Kluyveromyces lactis: one gene and its partners. The protein of the gene in region 2 purifies or fractionates together with the protein of the main gene of each other region. This does not show direct contact. Links are inferred from orthologs where the notes say so. Each region holds a gene or a part of one and is shown on either strand. Other genes may lie near its edges.

Region 1 (6,233 bases), about 250 kb from region 2:
GTAAAAGTGATTTATAATCTCCTCTTGTTTTTAAATCTACCATTGGATTTTTTACCAATTCTTCCCTTTTCAGCTGGTTTTGTTTTTGGTAGCTTGGTTTCCTGTTCATCATCACTGAAATCATCCTCATTGCCAGCTCTGGATCCTTTTTTGAATTTTAGTCTGTTCTTTTGACCCTTTACTGGACCTTGTTTGACAGCATCTAAGTATGCATTAACACCACTGGTAATAGCCTCTAACGGATCTTCATTGTTATTTTCTCCTCTTCTCCTATCGTTTTTCATAACCAACTTACCTTCTGCATCAAAGCTGAACACTTCATCATCGACAATCCTTCTTCTTTCATTTTTATTTGATTTTGGTCTAGTCGAGGAAATATGCGCCAATGTTTGAGAGTCCAATAAATCTAATGGGGTCTCCTTCGACTCGACAATGAATTGTTTAGAACCCTTCTTTCTTCTATCAGATTTTGTATTGTTTTTGTCTTCATCTTCACTCTCTTCTTCAGAAGAATATAGAGCTTCATCAAGGGCGGACATGAATCTAGACGACTTATTTGAAGGAGCAGCTTGCGCTGGCGCTTCTTCTTCGCCTTCATCTCGTTTACGAATACTTCTGTTACGAGACTTTCTGATATTGGCAAGCAATCTCAAGTCTTCTTCTGGGAATATTGACTCAATATAATCGTATCCAAATCTCCTAATCAATCTTTCTATGATGTGCTTAACCTTTGCCTTGAAATGGCCAGTATGTTCATGAGACCAACGTAATAATTTAGGAAGTAATTCTGGAACTTTAGGCTTCATGACTTCATCATTGAGACCTAAACAGCAAACTTTTGCAAAACCAATCGCACTTTTGACAATCTCTCTTGAATTAGAGGTTAAATATAGTTCGATTGTGTCATAAATTTCTAAGAGAACATCAACATCAACTTTATCTTTAAACTCGAAAACCAAACAAGAATATGCGGTGATTGTTGCGCTTACCATATGTTGCGATTCCCCAATTAAACCAGCTGAAATAATTCTGAAAAATTCAGCAACGGAAGAGGGTTGGTCTGGAGTGTTGGGGTCATAATTTGGAATGCAGGAAAGTTTGATAACACCCTCTGAACTATCCATTTTGTTAGCCATTTGGATAAGAATTTCAAAAGCCGTCTCACGGGATTTTTCGTTGACATCTTTGGTACACAATATGACTTCTGCCACAACCTGAACAATAAATCCTAGTTGAGTAGGTGGAAGTAAATTTACGAGAGTTCTAATTGCCGCCAACCTTGCTGATTTAGAGGAAGTGTGAACAGTTGATGCGCTGTTCAACATGACATTTTCAATATCAGATATGAAATTCGTGATGGCATCGGAACCTTCTTCGATTTCTGAAAGTTTATGAATAATACGGTATGCTCTCTTTTGGAATAATGCATTTTCTGAGTTGACGATGGAATTGAAAATAGCAAAGAGGGCACCATATGAGGAAGGTGGAACATATTTTACCATCGCGATAACTAAATCGAGCAAAGTAGCAGACATTTCATTGTTGTTCTTTTTAGCTTCTTCTTGAAGAGCAGTATTCAAGAGCCCACATACATTATTAAATGTTTGTGCAAGGTCTTCTTTCTTTGTTATTTGCAGATAAGAATCAATTGTCTCAAGGATATATCCTCTGGCGTTTGGAGCGGTTTGAGTATAAACATTGAAGAGCACCGCTAACATATTAGAAGATTTGGTAGACAAGTATTCTAAACTGTTCGTAGCACTTTCTATGGAAAAGTGTTGCAAAAGAAGCGAATCTGTAGTTGAGTTTTTTTGATATACTAGATTACTTTCGACGAGATTTCTTAGAGCACGACAAATAGTCGTTCTAAGTTCAACGTGGGAATATAACAAACCAGACAATTCAGCAGCCACCTCATCAGAAAAAGCTTCAGTCAAATCGGTTGGCAAATCACAGAATGGTGGCAATAAAGACCAGATTTGATCTACAACAGTTTGATATACCTTTAACTGAACAGATTCTTTACCAAATTTATCGAATTGAGATTCGAAATGTTTGATAAGAGGTAAAAACTCTTTGAAAAATGTATTTAACGTAGAATTCTGGATGGAGTCTCTTAATATTGGTAACAACCAGGCCCTTCCCGGTTTTGATGTAGATGGACTAATTAAATTTAGTGGTAAACATCCTAGTACAGCATCTACACCAATAGCTTCTATAGCCCCACCGATAACGTTTTCTGCCTCGGATCTCAAGTCCAAGAAGTTTTGTTCATCTGTTCTCCAACTGCCTACAATCTCTAGAGGTTTGATAAAATCTGGATTGGCTCTATATTTCAACTTTTTGAAAGTAGCCGTCAAAACATTTAACACTGCCTTAGCACAATGTGTGTATTTAATAGATAATAGATCCACAAATATCTCAGACAACTCTTGAATAACTTCATCAACTGCTTCAAAGTGCTCAGCGGAAACGGAAGGTGGATACAACAAAATTTCTGATTTGATTGCGTCAGTGACAATAGCGATTAAACATTGTGCTGCGCTAAAGTAGATATCTGGAATCTCACTTGATAGGTAAAATGATAAAGTTCTGAAAACTTCAGGAATCTTAACAAAACACTTTAATGGATCGTGAATCGCATATGTGCTGATACCTTTAGCGACGACTGCAATCCAGGCTGCTGCCAAATGTGTATCATTTTGGGATGGTTTTAATGAAAAAATGACATCAAGGGCTTTCATGAATTTATTCTCCGCTAAGCCAGATGAGACTGAAGACTCGGCCATAGACTGGAATAGAACCTCAAAACAGTTAAAAGAATTAGATACCAAAAATTGGTCCGAGGTTTTACAAACTTCCAATAGCAGATCACAGAGTTTTTCCACATGCGCAGTTGGCCATTGATTTGTTGATATTATATTGCTCAAAAGTTTCAAAATATGAATGATTTTGGAGTTCAATTCACTTGCACCTCCCATTGCTCTTAGCTTCTTATTGGAAATCGTTGCAGATTCATCAAGGATGGATACCAATGCATTAATAGCGAATGCTGAGATCAAAGGTGATGCGACGTGTTCTGCTGTTGGACCAGGTGGAGGGTTTTTTAGAATGTTGGTAATTGCATCCTGTGCTCTCTTCCTTACTTTTGGTCTTGGATCTAGAGATAGCTCAAGTAGACCATCCAAACCTCTTGTTGGAGTCACCTTTAAATTTTGAGTGTTATTCCACGTTTGCGTATCCTGGGCAATTAACAAAGCTTCTAAACAACCAAGAGCGGATTTGATCAAAGGAGCGTTAGCCTTTTCATCAGTAATACATGGGGCAACTTTAATCAAAATATCAGCAAACCTGCTCTTTAATATTTTCTTTGGTGTATAATGAAAAATGATGTCCAACAAATACATCGTTGATGTTGCTAATTGTAGATCTTTAATGGCCGCAGTTTCTGTATCGATAGTTTGATCCAGCAAGGACATCAAAGAAATAAGATAATTCACGATGTTCTTATTAATTGCCTCTTGCTCATTAATATTTTCTTCAATAGCAGCCAAGATTATGGCAATGTGCTTCTGATTCTCTAGTTTTGATGTAGATTGTCCTCTGATTTTAGCAAGCTTATCTTCAAGTTCAAGAAGCTTGGACGCTTGTTCAGGACCCATATTGCACAATTTGTTCGCTTGTCAGTTTTCAATCCCAAGTTAAACTCAGTAATTCTCTTTTCTGAGGTGTTGTTGATTATAACTCGTCTCTACTTGTTAGATGAGATGAGCGATGAGATGAGCTAGATTGAAAATTTTATACAGCTTGTGAAAAATTTCTTTTTAAGCCCTTAGTGATGAAGCAGCAAGGATCGTGAGGCAATGAAGAAAGCAGAGAATAAAAAGTAAATAAATTTTGGTTAATATATGCCAACTCTGTATATATGCGTCTGCTAAACGGGTTCAAGAACATACTATTTCATTATTTGTGTCGTTAACTTTCTTTACTGAATGCGATGTTATTTGTAATGCCAAGTCGTTTTATATGACTGCATTTTTGGTAAACTAATTCCCACCGTCAGTCTAACTCCAGTAAATAAACACTTTCTCACTTATAGATACTTTCTCATAGATCAACTTCCTATACTATTAGGCTGTAATGTCGCCATAAACGCCTAAGACGAATGTTGCTCATACGGCTGTTAGATATCCCACCTATATCACGTGATAGACATGCTTTATTTAGTTGGTGTTGAAAATCCTTCGAAAGATAGAAAAAAAAATTCAATCAACATTAAAAGCGTAATAACAGGACAAACATATTATGTATCAAGACGACCAGAGCGAGTAAACCAAGTCTCTTAAACCAGAATTTAACGCCAAGTTTGGTGAAATACAATAATCATGACGAAAGGTTTGGTGAGGATAAGACTAGCTAGATTCGGAAGGAAACATACCCCAGTATACAACATAGTTGTTACCAACAAACATAAGGCGTTGAATAGGAAACCAATTGAAGTATTAGGAACATACAACCCAATCCCAAAACCATTAACGAAGAAAGAGGTTAAACAAGGTGTTGTTCCTACTAAAGATGTGGAATTAGACTTCGGAAGAGCTAAATACTGGATCGGTGTTGGTGCTCAACCTAGTGATACGGTAACAAGACTATTGAGAAAAGCTGGAATCCTGGATGAAAATTGGGGAAAGACCTACACAAGTAGTAGGGTTGTTATTGAACCTAGGAAAGAAGTCTTTGAAGAATAGACCAGCTGTTCCGATTACTGTATTAAAAGCGGTATATCAATAATCAGGGCATAAATCACCATCTCCCAAGGCTTTCTTACGGTCAAGAACTCATGTATATAGGCTTAAATTGATAAGAGGAATTCGGGCACTTTTTCCGGTCATAAACCAATGTAGTAGTTACATACACTTAACAGCTTGGCCCCATGCGGTAAAATTGAAGTGATTAAATTTACATATCACCATATATAAGATGCTATCAGGTAATTCTACACAATAATAATAATCGTCATCAGCATATATTTCCCTGAATGAGGGAAGTATCATCGAGGAATACTGACTGTTAAACTATGTGATTTCCGAAAATTCATAAATATTAACAAAATTACAAGAACAAAAAGATGGTTTATGTTATGTTTTTGTGAATGAGTGAGTGAATGTCTAACTTCTCAAGTATTTAATAGGTATGTTTGGTGTAATGTTCAGGTTTGTATTGGAGATTAGTGCTCATGATGTTACATCGAGTCAAATTGTGTTCCAGTGCAACTATAAATTGGATTCATTTTCTATATGTGTGGGTAATCTATTGTTTCGTTCATCAGGCTGTTGACCAGCAGCAGCAGTATTTGTAGCATTTGAAGTTGAGTTCAAAAGAGTATTTACGCTTGCGGTTGATTGTGCTAGGAAAGATGATTGGGATGGGATAGAATTTGTTGGAGTAAGAAAGAAATGAGCATTACTAGAGGATCTTGACCTTGTTAGATTGGGAAGAGCAGGTGGCTGTACACCACTAATAGTATTTGACAATTGTGGGTGTATCTTGAACGAGTTACTTCTTGATCTACTAGCGGCTGTAATGAAACTATTGTTTCGTGACCTGACAAGAGCTTTTGGATTCTGAGGAGGAACTTGCGTAGTGCCTTGTGATAGTTGTAACGGTTGTTGCAACTGCTGCGACGATGGTCTAGATTCGAATGGCGAGTTCAAACCAGTGTAATAGTTCGTAGTAAAGGAAGAAGGTGGAGAATTTGTACTTTCGGCAGAATGACAATTGAAATAATCCTGTGGACTTTGCTGTAGCATATTGTTAGACATTCCTTCGTTTCCGAACTGAGGAACAGGAGGTAGTGATATGATAGAACTGTTTCTTGAAAGATAGTTTTCTTTCCGCACCTCTTTCAACAACCGCTGTCTCACTAAAGTCAACAACCACGAATTTCTCTCCAGACCGATATCAACTTGATCAGCATCAGCTGTTTCCACTGCTACTTTAGATACCCGGTGCAGAATCCCCGAAGGCGGGTTACTGCTATCGAATGGAGTGACTGTCGGATCTGAGCAGACCTGTAGGTAAACCTCCAATAATAAAGAGACAAACTGGGGGGTAAATGGTGCAGGAATAGAGCTGATATTATTGGCAGTAGAAGGTCTTCCATTTGAATATCCCAGTTCTGAAACAGAACTGGCAAGAGATGACATGCTTCCATGTCTGTTTGTATATATGTG
Region 2 (6,451 bases):
TTTTGTTCGATTTTTTCAATGGGAGAAAGACATCACCTACGTACTATGTGATTAGCAGGGTAACGCTGTTTTCCATCGGTCATAACCTGCAAGATGACAAGACGGTCAGCCATTAGACAAGCGTTGGTTTAACGATGATAAAAGGATTGGGTATATTTACCATATATGTATATTTTATTCTATTTTACAGCATTTATTTTTTACCTTTCTTCTTGAACTTCCTGGATGGTGCCATCTCTTCGTTGAGAATTTGTTCTGCACTTTCTTGTTTTCTCTTCTTGCCGGACTTGATGGCCACAGTTCCTTGGGATTTGACAGCTTTTGACAATTCTTTGGAAGATTCTTCCCAGCCCTCGCCAGTTTCATCAATTTCATATTTATTTAGGTTCAAGGAATTGATCAATTCTTTCTGCTTTTCTCTCATTGCGCTGATAGCTTCGTTCCCTGCATTTTCAAGGTCATCTTCCATTTTGTCAATGACTTCGGCAGCATTGTAAGACAACACTTCTTCGCCATTCATTTCGGCAATTTCTTGGTCCTTGATTTGAGGTAAGGTTTTTTCAATAGACTCGCTTAAAACTTCCCTGAAGAAATTGGTGAATTTCCTGATAATCTTGGAGAACATGGCAATAGTTTGATTGGATGGTAAGTTCAACTCTTTCGTTATGTCATCAATGCCCTTGTGTTGCAAACCAATTGCAAGTAGTATACACGATTGTACGCTTGATAATGATACACCGTCACCCAGCTTTCCACTAAAGTATAGCAATGCCATCATTGGTAGAAGATCAACAATGACATGATAATCCAGTAAGTTGTTAGCATAGCTTTCTAACCTCTTTAGATCGAATGGAGAAAAGATGGAATCCAATTGGTCCCTTGTTAAAACCTTATTCTGGAACGATCTGCCCTCCGAGTCTTGGTCTAGTGTTTCACCCTTCTTAGCAGATTCAATGACATTTAACGCTTCGATGGCAGTGAATTTCTTAAAGTCGAACGATAATAAAGACAAGAATCTTTTATGGAAATCTTTGGCAAATTCTGCCAGCCATTTTGATTCACGACCTTCAAGAACTTTAACCATAACACATGTATGTTCACCAGTCAAATCATTCGCTGTTTGACGTAAGTAAACTGGGACAAATCCGTTGTTTTTCCAGAACTTATGTAAAGATTTTGTTAAACCATATGAAACACCTAAGTAATGCAAAAAGTGAGGGGTTTGTTCTGAGAGTTTCAGAAGCAATGGTGGCAACGTCTTTGCATCCCTTAATTTGATTTCATCTTTCAAGAGGTCTGCTTTCTTCAAATCCCTGTCATCGACTCTCTTGATTGTGTAGTCCTTTTGTACCGTATCTTCATTCAAATCGGTGAATTTACCTTCGAAATGATCTTTCAATAACTCCAGAGCCCTAGACCCATAACCCATAGAGGCGTATTCCGGATTGGTTGCAATCCTAACAACACGGGCACCACTCAAACCGGCAAATTCTTCATCTTGAAATTGCTGTGAGATTAGCCATGGAATTAAGTCACCACCAGCTCTTTGACCTCTTGCCAAAGAATTTCTGACAGAATCCTTCGAGATCTCACCTTCCAATGCGACCTGGATGACCACTAAGGGATCAGGTATTCTGCCGCCATCTTTTGGATCGATGGGAGGCAATAAAACGAATAGTTGATGAGCAGGTGCATCACTCATTAATTGCAAGTCGTTAGGAGAATTCTTGTAATGCGATGCGACATAAAGAGCCATCATCTTCTCCAGAAAATTTTCAGAAACAGGATGATAAGAAAATAGAGTATCTCTATTGACGATGAATAAATTACATTGAGATGGATGAGGTGTGCCTCTAGCAGCAAATCTTGGATTTTTGATTAGTTGAACGTCCAAACAAAGTAATTTATTCAACCATTTTTCAACTGGGTCACCAGGAGCGTATCTGATAGGTTCATCTAAGACAACTTCTCTCAAAGAACGGCCACTTGTTTGAACTTCTTGTTTCTTTGAATCTCTGGAAACAAGTGCTGTTTCGGAATCTTCACGGCCAGTACCGTTGGATTGAGTTCTTAGCTGTTGAATCAATTTCAAAGACAAAGATCTACCGGTACCTTCATAACCGTTAATAGTGGATGCCATAAACACTAAGTACGGACCCAAAAGCTTCTTTACAAGTGGTAGTGGAATTGCGGCAGCTTCATCAATGACAACAAGTTCTGCCTGTCCCAACACATGAGAATCATTTGGAATAATATATTGAATGGTCTGTCTATGTTCTCTCTTGATGTCTACTCTGACTATGGCTTTGTTGAAGCTTGGATTGGTGGACTGAATGATATCATAATCAATGTGCTCCTGATAGCCTAGAGCGTCAAATCCTTTGAAAATAAACTCAAATAAAGTCTTCAAATTCTCAGGGGAAGGAGATGTTACAAAGATATTGGAGTAACCATGGGATACAGCAGCAGCAATAGAAATACCTAGAGCAGCTGATTTACCTCTACCTCTACCTGCCGTCAATGCTACAGTTGAATTTAAAGTTTTCTCTGAAATGGCATCAATGAAGGTCAAGATTGCATGAGCTTGATTAACCGTTTTTGAAAGAGCAACTAATGATCCCGCAGGCTGAACATCTTCTAAAGACACTTTCAATTCTTTTAGTTCTTGATTTTTTGGTGAAATTTCTTCATCATCCTTTGGTGGAAGTGGTTTTACGTTTTTTCCTCCAGATATAGGTAAAACGTTTAACTCACTATCTACTACCAAACAGTTTTCATTCGAACCCAAGGACAAGATAAATCTTTCGTTGAATCTTGCCACGACATCGTCATGAGCTTCCGTTCTATAACGAGAGTGGATATCCATAGTCATAGTGTATAACTGTTTTAGAGAGGAAATGGACTTTAACATGATAACAATGATACCACCACCTTCAACGGTTTCGATGGTTCTTGCTAGCAAATTTGGAGTCAAAGCTTCAAAATCTTGTAGGATACACATACCATAAGTGTTACCCAAAATTTTTTCAGTTTCCTTATAATAACAGTATCGAATGTTTTGGTTAGAGATGAAAGTTTCAAAAGGATCTTGTTCATTTATCTCTCTGGTACCTCTCTTGATCTCTTTCTTAATCTTTGCTTCTCTCTTCTTCCTGTGTGAAGTGAAACCCAAGAGTTTCTTCTTATACGTCCATAACACGGATTTATTCATTTTGAGGTCAGCACTCATCATTAAATAGTGCAAGTTCGGTAGCTGGTTACGAGCATTGTCACCAACGATAACGAAAAATGATCTCTGATTTGTTTGAACACCATTTCTGATGAGAGCTGGGATACGAGAATCAATAGCTTTTTTACCCATCGTAATCTAACTTCTGGTTTAAAGTTTTAAGAACACACTCTTTAACAACAAACAATGACAGTTACGTTTCGCTGGAAGTTCGACCGTTGGGAAGAGTTAGTGTTTTTAATGATTTTTTTTGTAGTAACGAAGTACAGTAATCAGGTATTTTGGGGAGAAATAAACGTCTCGTAATACTCAGATAGCTTCTCAGCAAACCACCTCATCTCATTTGATCTCATCTCATCTCGAAATAAAATTCCTACCTAATACGATGAAATAGTAAAAAGACAATGAAAAAAAAAAAAAAAAATTAGGCAGAGAAAAGAAAAGATACTACTTACCCGGAATTATTTGATGAAAATATACTGTTACCCGCATGAATTTCATGCGCAGTGTAATTTCGGCGGCTAATTTCAAGAAATGACTACGTGTGCATAATGCACCATTATGTGATGTCGACTAATATTTTAAATTCATATTTAAACTTCAGTAGTAGTTTTCATGGGTATTAATTAAAGTTTTCTTCATGACTGACGAAAAGGGAAAAACTAACATTATATAAATACCAGTATTTTTGTGTCACAAGGAATAAGGGCAATATTCTTATGAAATAGATCCGATGAATAAGATAAGAGGTTAAGAACTGACATCAGAACGAGGTTCGATTATAAGGTTGTTTCTTTACCTGAACAAGCGCAGTTGTGGTTATCTCTTATACGGAACGTACGATTCCTAGGTTTTATTTTGGTTTTATTTTTTCGTGGTCATTCAGGTAAGCTCGGCGGTTATTCCATAGCAATAGCCAGGAGGAGAGTGAGAGCTAACTATATTTTCTTTTAATAGGAACAGAGTATAGTTTTATGTGATCAAACTTGCTATGATGGAGGATTTGGACCATCTGAACGATGAGAATATCAATATAGATGAGAACGAATTTTTGGAAACACTTGATAATGCTGACGGGGACGTGATCAAAACTTTTAGGAACGCTGACGGGTCATTAAGTAGTCATTTTGACAAGAGAAAAGTTCGTATTGCTCCAAGGTCAACATTGCAGTTCAAAATAGGCCCAGGCTTTACGCCAGTGGTGCCCAATCACAAGATATTGAACGATTTTGGACAGATTCAAGAAATCAAATTGGAGCCTCGGATTGATCGAGGGTTTGATTTCATAGATGACGATTGGATTGGTTATAAAAGAAATTATTTCACCGTGGTAACTTCATTTGACACACCGGGGACTGATCATATCGAGTTCATGAAACAAGCGTATCATTTAGATAACGGTGTGGAGATCAAATACTTCGCTACCAAATTAGCCGCCAAGTGTTTGGAAGATGATAAATTGATTAACCTAGTTCAACACACTGCAAAGCGAGATAAAGGCCCTCAATTTGCTCCTCCAATACATGTTATTGCACCTGCAAATTTGCCGAAGCACCAGATTATAAGAGATGCATCGAACGTGAGAAACGAATCCAAGATGAAAAAATTTGATAGCTATTTTTTCCTTCATAAAGAAGACGTTGGAACAGGATGTGAAGTAAGGAGTGTCTTGGCAAACTACCCATCGGATCCAATCAAAAAAGTAGCAAGGTATGAAAGGATACAGTTCGCCTCTTCTATAACTTTGAAGAAAACTAGCCAACAAAATAGACGGTTTTCACTTTTAGTGGTTTTAGGCTGCTATGTGAAGGGAAGACATGACGGTATTCAGCAGTCATCACCTTATCATGAATTGGATCATTATGATGAAGAGACTGACATGACGTTTGTTCCAATTCTAATGGAGAAGACGCCGCCTCTCATAATAAGAGGAAGATCTCCCTCTAACTATTGCCAACAAATCAAAGTCATGCATACCAAGAAATCAGATTTTGATAATGGTTCCCCACAAGAAAACGATCTTGATGTGCCAGCTGATAAGAAAGAGCGGAAAAGGCGAGGACGAAAAAGTAAGCAACCAGATCTTAAAACTACTGCAAATGTGTCTCACGATAGCGCTGGTCGAATCCCAACACTTCTAACCAATGGATTGCCGTCCACATTCGAAATATCACCGACTAGTGGTAACATGAGAATTAAGAATATACAACTGCACTCGTCAAGCACTGAGACCTCATTTCCAAGAGGTTTCCAATCTGAGTCATTGTCAGTAGCATATTTCAGTAACAGTGCCACTCCCATACAAGACTCGATTTTTAAGAAGAGAAGACTTAATATTAGTAAACCTGTTGTACTGGAGTCAAACCTTGAAGAACCGCTGGATGACATTACAGAAAATATCTTTAATACAATATCTTTTGAGGAAAGGACTCCATCGAAAGAAAACAAAGAGCGATTATCTTCTACAAGCGTATTCCTCCTGAAGCATGTGACTTACGATGTTTCAGAGCCTCCTGCGGTGGCAATTCCCAGGGCCATGCTTCCAAACAAGATGGAAATTTCCTACTGTTTGAATGATTATTCATCAAGTTTTATCGAATATCCACCTCCTAGTACGTCACATAAAAGATTGCCTGGTTCGAGAAGGCTCTTAACAGCCTCCGGAAACCCTTCGGATCTATTAAACCCTGCAGACTGGTCGGATGGGCCGAGCATCTTCCGTCATTAATAGCTTTCGCCTTATAAACAACCGCAACTGTTATCCGTAGCGTAGACAAATGATGCTGCAAACAGTTCTGGCAAGGAGGGATGTATTTTGGAGAGACAGACGGAATGGGTAATCTTACTTGCGTTAATTTCCGAACTTGAAAACAGACGTCTCTCATTTTTCCATGAAAAAACAATAAATTTTACAATATAGAGAGAGAGAGAGGCGCTGACAAATAAAGCCAGGCAAACTAAACGAACGTTCACCAGAACATGTCAGACATCTTGAATTCAATTTTTTGTTAGCTAATTGGTTTCAGACAGAATTTTCTTTGCATATTCTCACGGAGTTAATACAGCCAAAGATTACTATCCCAAATCACAGATGGCGGATAACCCGAAAGCCCCAACGTTCATCAAGGAGGGTTCTGGAGATTTGGAAAGCCAAAGGAGAAACGAGCAAGTCAATCGAGAAGTTGGCGAATTGGTTACAAGAAAGTCGCTCAGCGATCAATT
Region 3 (4,839 bases), on a different chromosome or scaffold from region 2:
TACGCCTACAGGATTTGATAGCCACAGAGCAGGAAACTCTCCTTCAAATCAGCTGGGTTCACCAGATTTTTCTAATCCATTCTTGAACAACCAGGCTATAGCTGCTGCGGTAGCTGCAAACGGTGGGAACAGTGGACAGGGTGTTAGTCCCTTGGAATCACATAGAAAACTTTCCAACGTTTCCATTCCACCACTGGCCGTTGCTACAAGACATTATTCGGGGAATCTCGCGTGCCGTTCCCCAAATACTAATACTACAAATGGACATAGACTGAGTACTTCCCCTTTAATGATCCCACATAACCCAAATAGTGCGTTGTTGCGCAAGAGTAACTTTCAAATAGAGTCCAGCGGAAGTGAATGTTCCGATGATGAAGATCCGGACCAACATCGCAGTAACAGCAACAGCAGCAACAGCAACAACAACAACAACAACAACAACAACAACAACAACAACAACAACAACAACAACAACAGAAATACACAGCATCGTGGTTTAGATCATGATGTATCTAGTGCAGGTACACTGAACACCCCACCAGTAAATCCTCAAGGACTTCGTTTATCACGTACTTCTACTCAGGGATCTGGTTTTAACAAAAAATTCTCTCCTCCAGCGTACAAGACAAGAGCGTACTCCAATGCTAGTGGAGTTTCACCGTACGCGAATAACTTCAGTAGAAGCTCCGTGTCAAGCGCGAATACCCATATACTGGATGATGTTTTTTATGATGAGCAACTTCAATCCAATACGGCAAGCGAAGTGGTGAAGAAAAAGTTGACTAACGAAATCTAACATTAAAAAGAAAGAATAAGGATGATCCATGAGCCATTCAGCGCGCTTTTAAATAGAAGGAAATTGCTACGTTTATCTGTTTTCAAGCAATCACTTGAATTTTCTGGCCAAGAACGGGTCATTTATTTTTTCCGTCTCTTCTTTGATACATCTTCTTCCCCTTCCCTTATTTTTTCTCTCGTTCAGCAACTCTTTCCCTTACCGTCTCCTCGGTACAGTCAATCGTTATAACTCTATTTTGAATTAACATTCTATTTTTATTTATATCGAAATGAGAAGGTTGTTATTCTTTTATGTTAATTTACTTACGGGTGTTTTCTTTTTCTCTTTCTGATTCTTTTTATCCTATCTATAAATACAGTGACTGAAACGCAGTTGCTTCATGCTCCAGGGTTTGCTAATATCATGTAATTGTGTTTAATTTTCCTGTATCTCCTCAAACAACATACCCTTTCCGTCGTTAAAACGAAATACGTTTGATAGAATTCTTTCCACTAGCAAAAATGTTATACTTTGCTTGATTTTATGGACATTATGATGGAATTGTCTTATTATGCTTACTATAATTATAAATAGTCCTTTCTACTAGCCGTTCTAACAAATCTTCTTAGTTGCCATTCTACGTCAGCATCTTTATTTTCTAATGTTCCTAATTTTAATTCGAACAATCTCATCTCGAACCTAGGTCCCACTTCTGCTAACTCCACACCTTCTCTGGTTTTCACATAAACATGTTGCCTAACGCTGATAAAATCTCCTCTGTTTGCAAACGTTATCACCCTTGCTGCATCTTTCTTTGGACCAGGTGGGAATAGGTGCTTTAAAATCGTCTCTACTCTCTTACCCAATGGTGTTGTGAAATTATCGAAGATTAGATGTGGATTTACTTCACTTTGATTCCCCGAATTTAAAATGTCATGTCTTAAAACGACGTTGTGTAATGTGAAAAATGCTGTTGGACCATGTGGGAAATGTGATACCGTTAGTGATGTAGGAACACCTCTATGTTCATGAAGAACAACCAAATCTGACGTTCCTGATGTTTGACAGGCATCGACAAGATTCGGCATAATGTAATTACCTCTGTTTAATCTTACCGCTGTTGGGAACAGTAATTTGATTTCTTTTGCAAACTGTGATAACCTAGTACTAGGGTCTCTAGATGTTGTCACAATAATCTTAGGTTCTGCGATACCGCTTGTTGCGCTGTACTCATCATCTATCTGTTCCTGAGCACTTTCATCGTATTGAAAATCTTTCTGTAGTTGCTCATCTTCAGCAATTTCCTTTGGTAGTGGTTTCCCCTGTGCTAACGCTTGCTTTATGATTTGGCGCTTTTGTTGTAGTTGAGATTCTTGTAGCTCTTGTGCTTTACGGTACAAGTATTCTCTTCTTTCACGAGCTTGCCTTCTTAACATCGTACTTCAATAATGTGTTGCTTGTATAGTACCAAAAAAGCGAATAGCTGATAATATACTATAATAATGCCTGTTTATAGTGACTACAGTACGTATATACACGATACTAGTCCGTCGTAAACAAAAATGTCCAACCAGCTAAGTTGTTCTTCAGCTCTAACGTCTCATCTCATCGCATCGTTCATGTAAAAATTTCAGCCTCAAAAAGAAATAATTATTAGAATAATACCAAATGGTCACGTGACAAAACCTTTATACAAATCCATAAAGCCAAATACGCTAAGAAACGCATTATCGTAACATCGGTTACATACAACAGACACTGTAATTGGTGACATATTAAAGAATTACTTGGTTGTCATTAAACGAGGTTTTATACAGTCTATCAAAGGTAATTAATATTTGTCGTGGATGATGTTTAGTAAATGAAGGAAATTACCTTCACTTCTTGACACATCTGCCATATGCTCTAGCGAAGCTTTCTTCTTCTGAGATTTCCATTCTAGTCTTGAGGAAGAAATTGTTTCTGTTTTTGGAAGGGATATCCATCGATTCACGTCTCGATGCTACCTTTTTGGCTATTTCAGTATCAAAATCTGATTGAAGACTTCCTCCACGTAATGCCATCCTTTGTTGGTGGACGTTATTAGGCAAAAACATATGGGTAGAAAGAGCAGTAGGTAAAATGGTCTGAGCAGCCGGAGGTGCATTCGATTCATGATAATACCGTTCTCTAGTAGTATCGCTTACGATACTACTAAAAGAGCCGAGTCTTCTGGAACGCTCAAATGCGACAGGAATTGGCTTTTGATGATCCAAAAGAGGTTTGTTCTGCCACGAACTTGATGGTGTCACAGAGCCCACAGCAACTATTTCCGTAGTTTCTGGAGCAACAGGTTGAGGCGGTATTTGAATTCCTGTTGGATTCTGATGTAATATGCAATTTTGATCGGTCTTCTTTCTCAGAGGCTTTTCCGATTGTTTATCCAAAGACTTTAAGACAGGTTTCTCAACAGCCTTTGCTGAAGATGTTGCTTCAGAAACATATAGTGGTCTTTTGAGCAAATCCTCATTGGTTGTAGTGTATGCTTTATCCTCTGGATCAACTTGTGACTTGGTTTGTTTCTCTTGCATGAATAGACCAGACAACAAACTTTTCTTCTCTCCGGATTCTTTTGAAGGCACTTGATGAACATTATTGTTTTGGTGTGTCTTTGAGAACATCAGCTTATCCCATTGGTTTTCATAATATTGATCATTATCTTCTTCTTCATCGTATATCTCACTATCATCTGAAAGAGAGTCCCAATCAGATTCTTCGTCCTCACTACTAAAGAACATATTCTTGTGATCTTGTCCGGCATGCACATGCGCTGCATTACTTATAGTACCAGACGTTCCAGATTTGGTGCCATTACTAGATGTATGAGCGATATTGTTGGCAACTGATGACGTTCTCGAGGAATGATTCATCTCATTTGATTTGAGGTTTTCAGCAGATCCATTGGCAGATGAATTAGTAGATCCATTGGCCGGGGTGAATGGAGTAGGTTGATTTTTCGCAAATAATGATTTACTAGATGGGTTTCTACTGAACAAAGAAGTCTGTGAGTGAGCATTTGACTTTGTTTCCGATAAAGGCACATGATTTGACACCGGGGGTTCTGATGATGATGGTGGTAAAGGTAATTGTTGTTGATGGTTCTTCGGTACATTGACCAATTCAGGAGAAATAGCGAATTTCTTCTTTGCCAAATCTTTCCGTAGATCAGGGGTGTTTGCCTGGGACCTTGATGGAACCTCCATTTTCGTCGGTAGAGGTTCAGGTGAAGAACACACAGGTGATATCAGTTTCTTCGAAATTGAGATATGAGGTCTTGTTGACGTAATATGCGTATTAGCAGTCGATTTCGGTATCGAGGCCCCACTAGAGATTGGTGTCAACAGCGCAGATGATGAACCGGACGATGTCGCCGAGGTGGAAGCTGCAGTTACCATTGTAGTTGGAGTCTTTGGTGACGCCGGTGTCACAGCTTTTGGTTTCTGCAGCTGTTGCTGCAGTTGTGGGAATAAGTGCGTTTGCTTTATAGGATTAATAACGTGATATAGGTTCCGTACACCATCCCGTCTCTTTGACTTGTTGATATTCTGATCTTTCAACAACGACTTATTAATGATCCTCCAACTAAGGTTATGCAGCCGTTCTCCTTGCTCCATGAATTTGCTACATTTGATCAACGAAGTGTATAAGTCTAAAGAATCGAACAACGGCAGTTTATCCTGCGTGAAAAGAGCGGGACTCACTTTCAAAAACGTATGATTTTGTTCATGTTCTACATCACTACTCGCGTGTAGCATCTGGAACCGATTTTTATCGGTACAGTTAAGCATCTTGGGATCCATTTCTCGCCTGCGTATTGAAATCCTCTGATCCATATTAATCTAAACAGTATGATAAGGTGAATAGAAAAGAGGTAAGACCACCGGAGGAAAGACGGTGCTTCGTGTTGAAGTAAAAACAAAATAATAAAAAAAAAAATTCGTGCGAACTCTGAAGTCCTATGATGCCAAGCGATAACAGATTCTTCGTCTTTTACTGTTCAGATTGATTACTCGTGGCTGGTC

The links. The genes of interacting proteins can lie anywhere in the genome.
Region 1: the proteins of KRE33 (region 2) and RRP12 purify together in Saccharomyces cerevisiae (affinity purification with mass spectrometry; 3 studies listed by BioGRID). This does not show direct contact. The link is inferred for Kluyveromyces lactis from reciprocal best matches to the Saccharomyces cerevisiae genes KRE33 and RRP12.
Region 3: the proteins of KRE33 (region 2) and IMP4 purify together in Saccharomyces cerevisiae (affinity purification with mass spectrometry; 3 studies listed by BioGRID). This does not show direct contact. The link is inferred for Kluyveromyces lactis from reciprocal best matches to the Saccharomyces cerevisiae genes KRE33 and IMP4.

Annotation. Positions count from the first base shown.
Region 1 is NC_006042.1:2,518,211-2,524,443, reverse strand, and holds RRP12 (mRNA-binding protein RRP12), read right to left. Parts: upstream 3,663-6,233; coding exon 12-3,662; downstream 1-11. Other genes in the region: MRPS16 (mitochondrial 37S ribosomal protein bS16m), read left to right, coding at 4,386-4,748; CIP1 (Cip1p), read right to left, coding at 5,274-6,233. UniProt on the Saccharomyces cerevisiae protein: In association with GSP1, required for nuclear export of both pre-40S and pre-60S ribosomal subunits. Required for the late maturation of the 18S and 5.8S rRNA of the pre-40S ribosomes and for maturation of the 25S and 5.8S rRNA of the pre-60S ribosomes.
Region 2 is NC_006042.1:2,271,516-2,277,966, forward strand, and holds KRE33 (ribosome biosynthesis protein KRE33), read right to left. Parts: upstream 3,362-6,451; coding exon 194-3,361; downstream 1-193. Other genes in the region: transcription factor NDT80, read left to right, coding at 4,221-5,957; FYV6 (Fyv6p), read left to right, coding at 6,321-6,451. UniProt on the Saccharomyces cerevisiae protein: RNA cytidine acetyltransferase with specificity toward both 18S rRNA and tRNAs. Catalyzes the formation of N(4)-acetylcytidine (ac4C) at positions 1280 and 1773 in 18S rRNA.
Region 3 is NC_006041.1:699,831-704,669, forward strand, and holds IMP4 (snoRNA-binding rRNA-processing protein IMP4), read right to left. Parts: upstream 2,215-4,839; coding exon 1,363-2,214; downstream 1-1,362. Other genes in the region: KLLA0_E07811g (uncharacterized protein), read left to right, coding at 1-796; MKS1 (Mks1p), read right to left, coding at 2,656-4,650. UniProt on the Saccharomyces cerevisiae protein: Required for the early cleavages at sites A0, A1 and A2 during 18S ribosomal pre-RNA processing.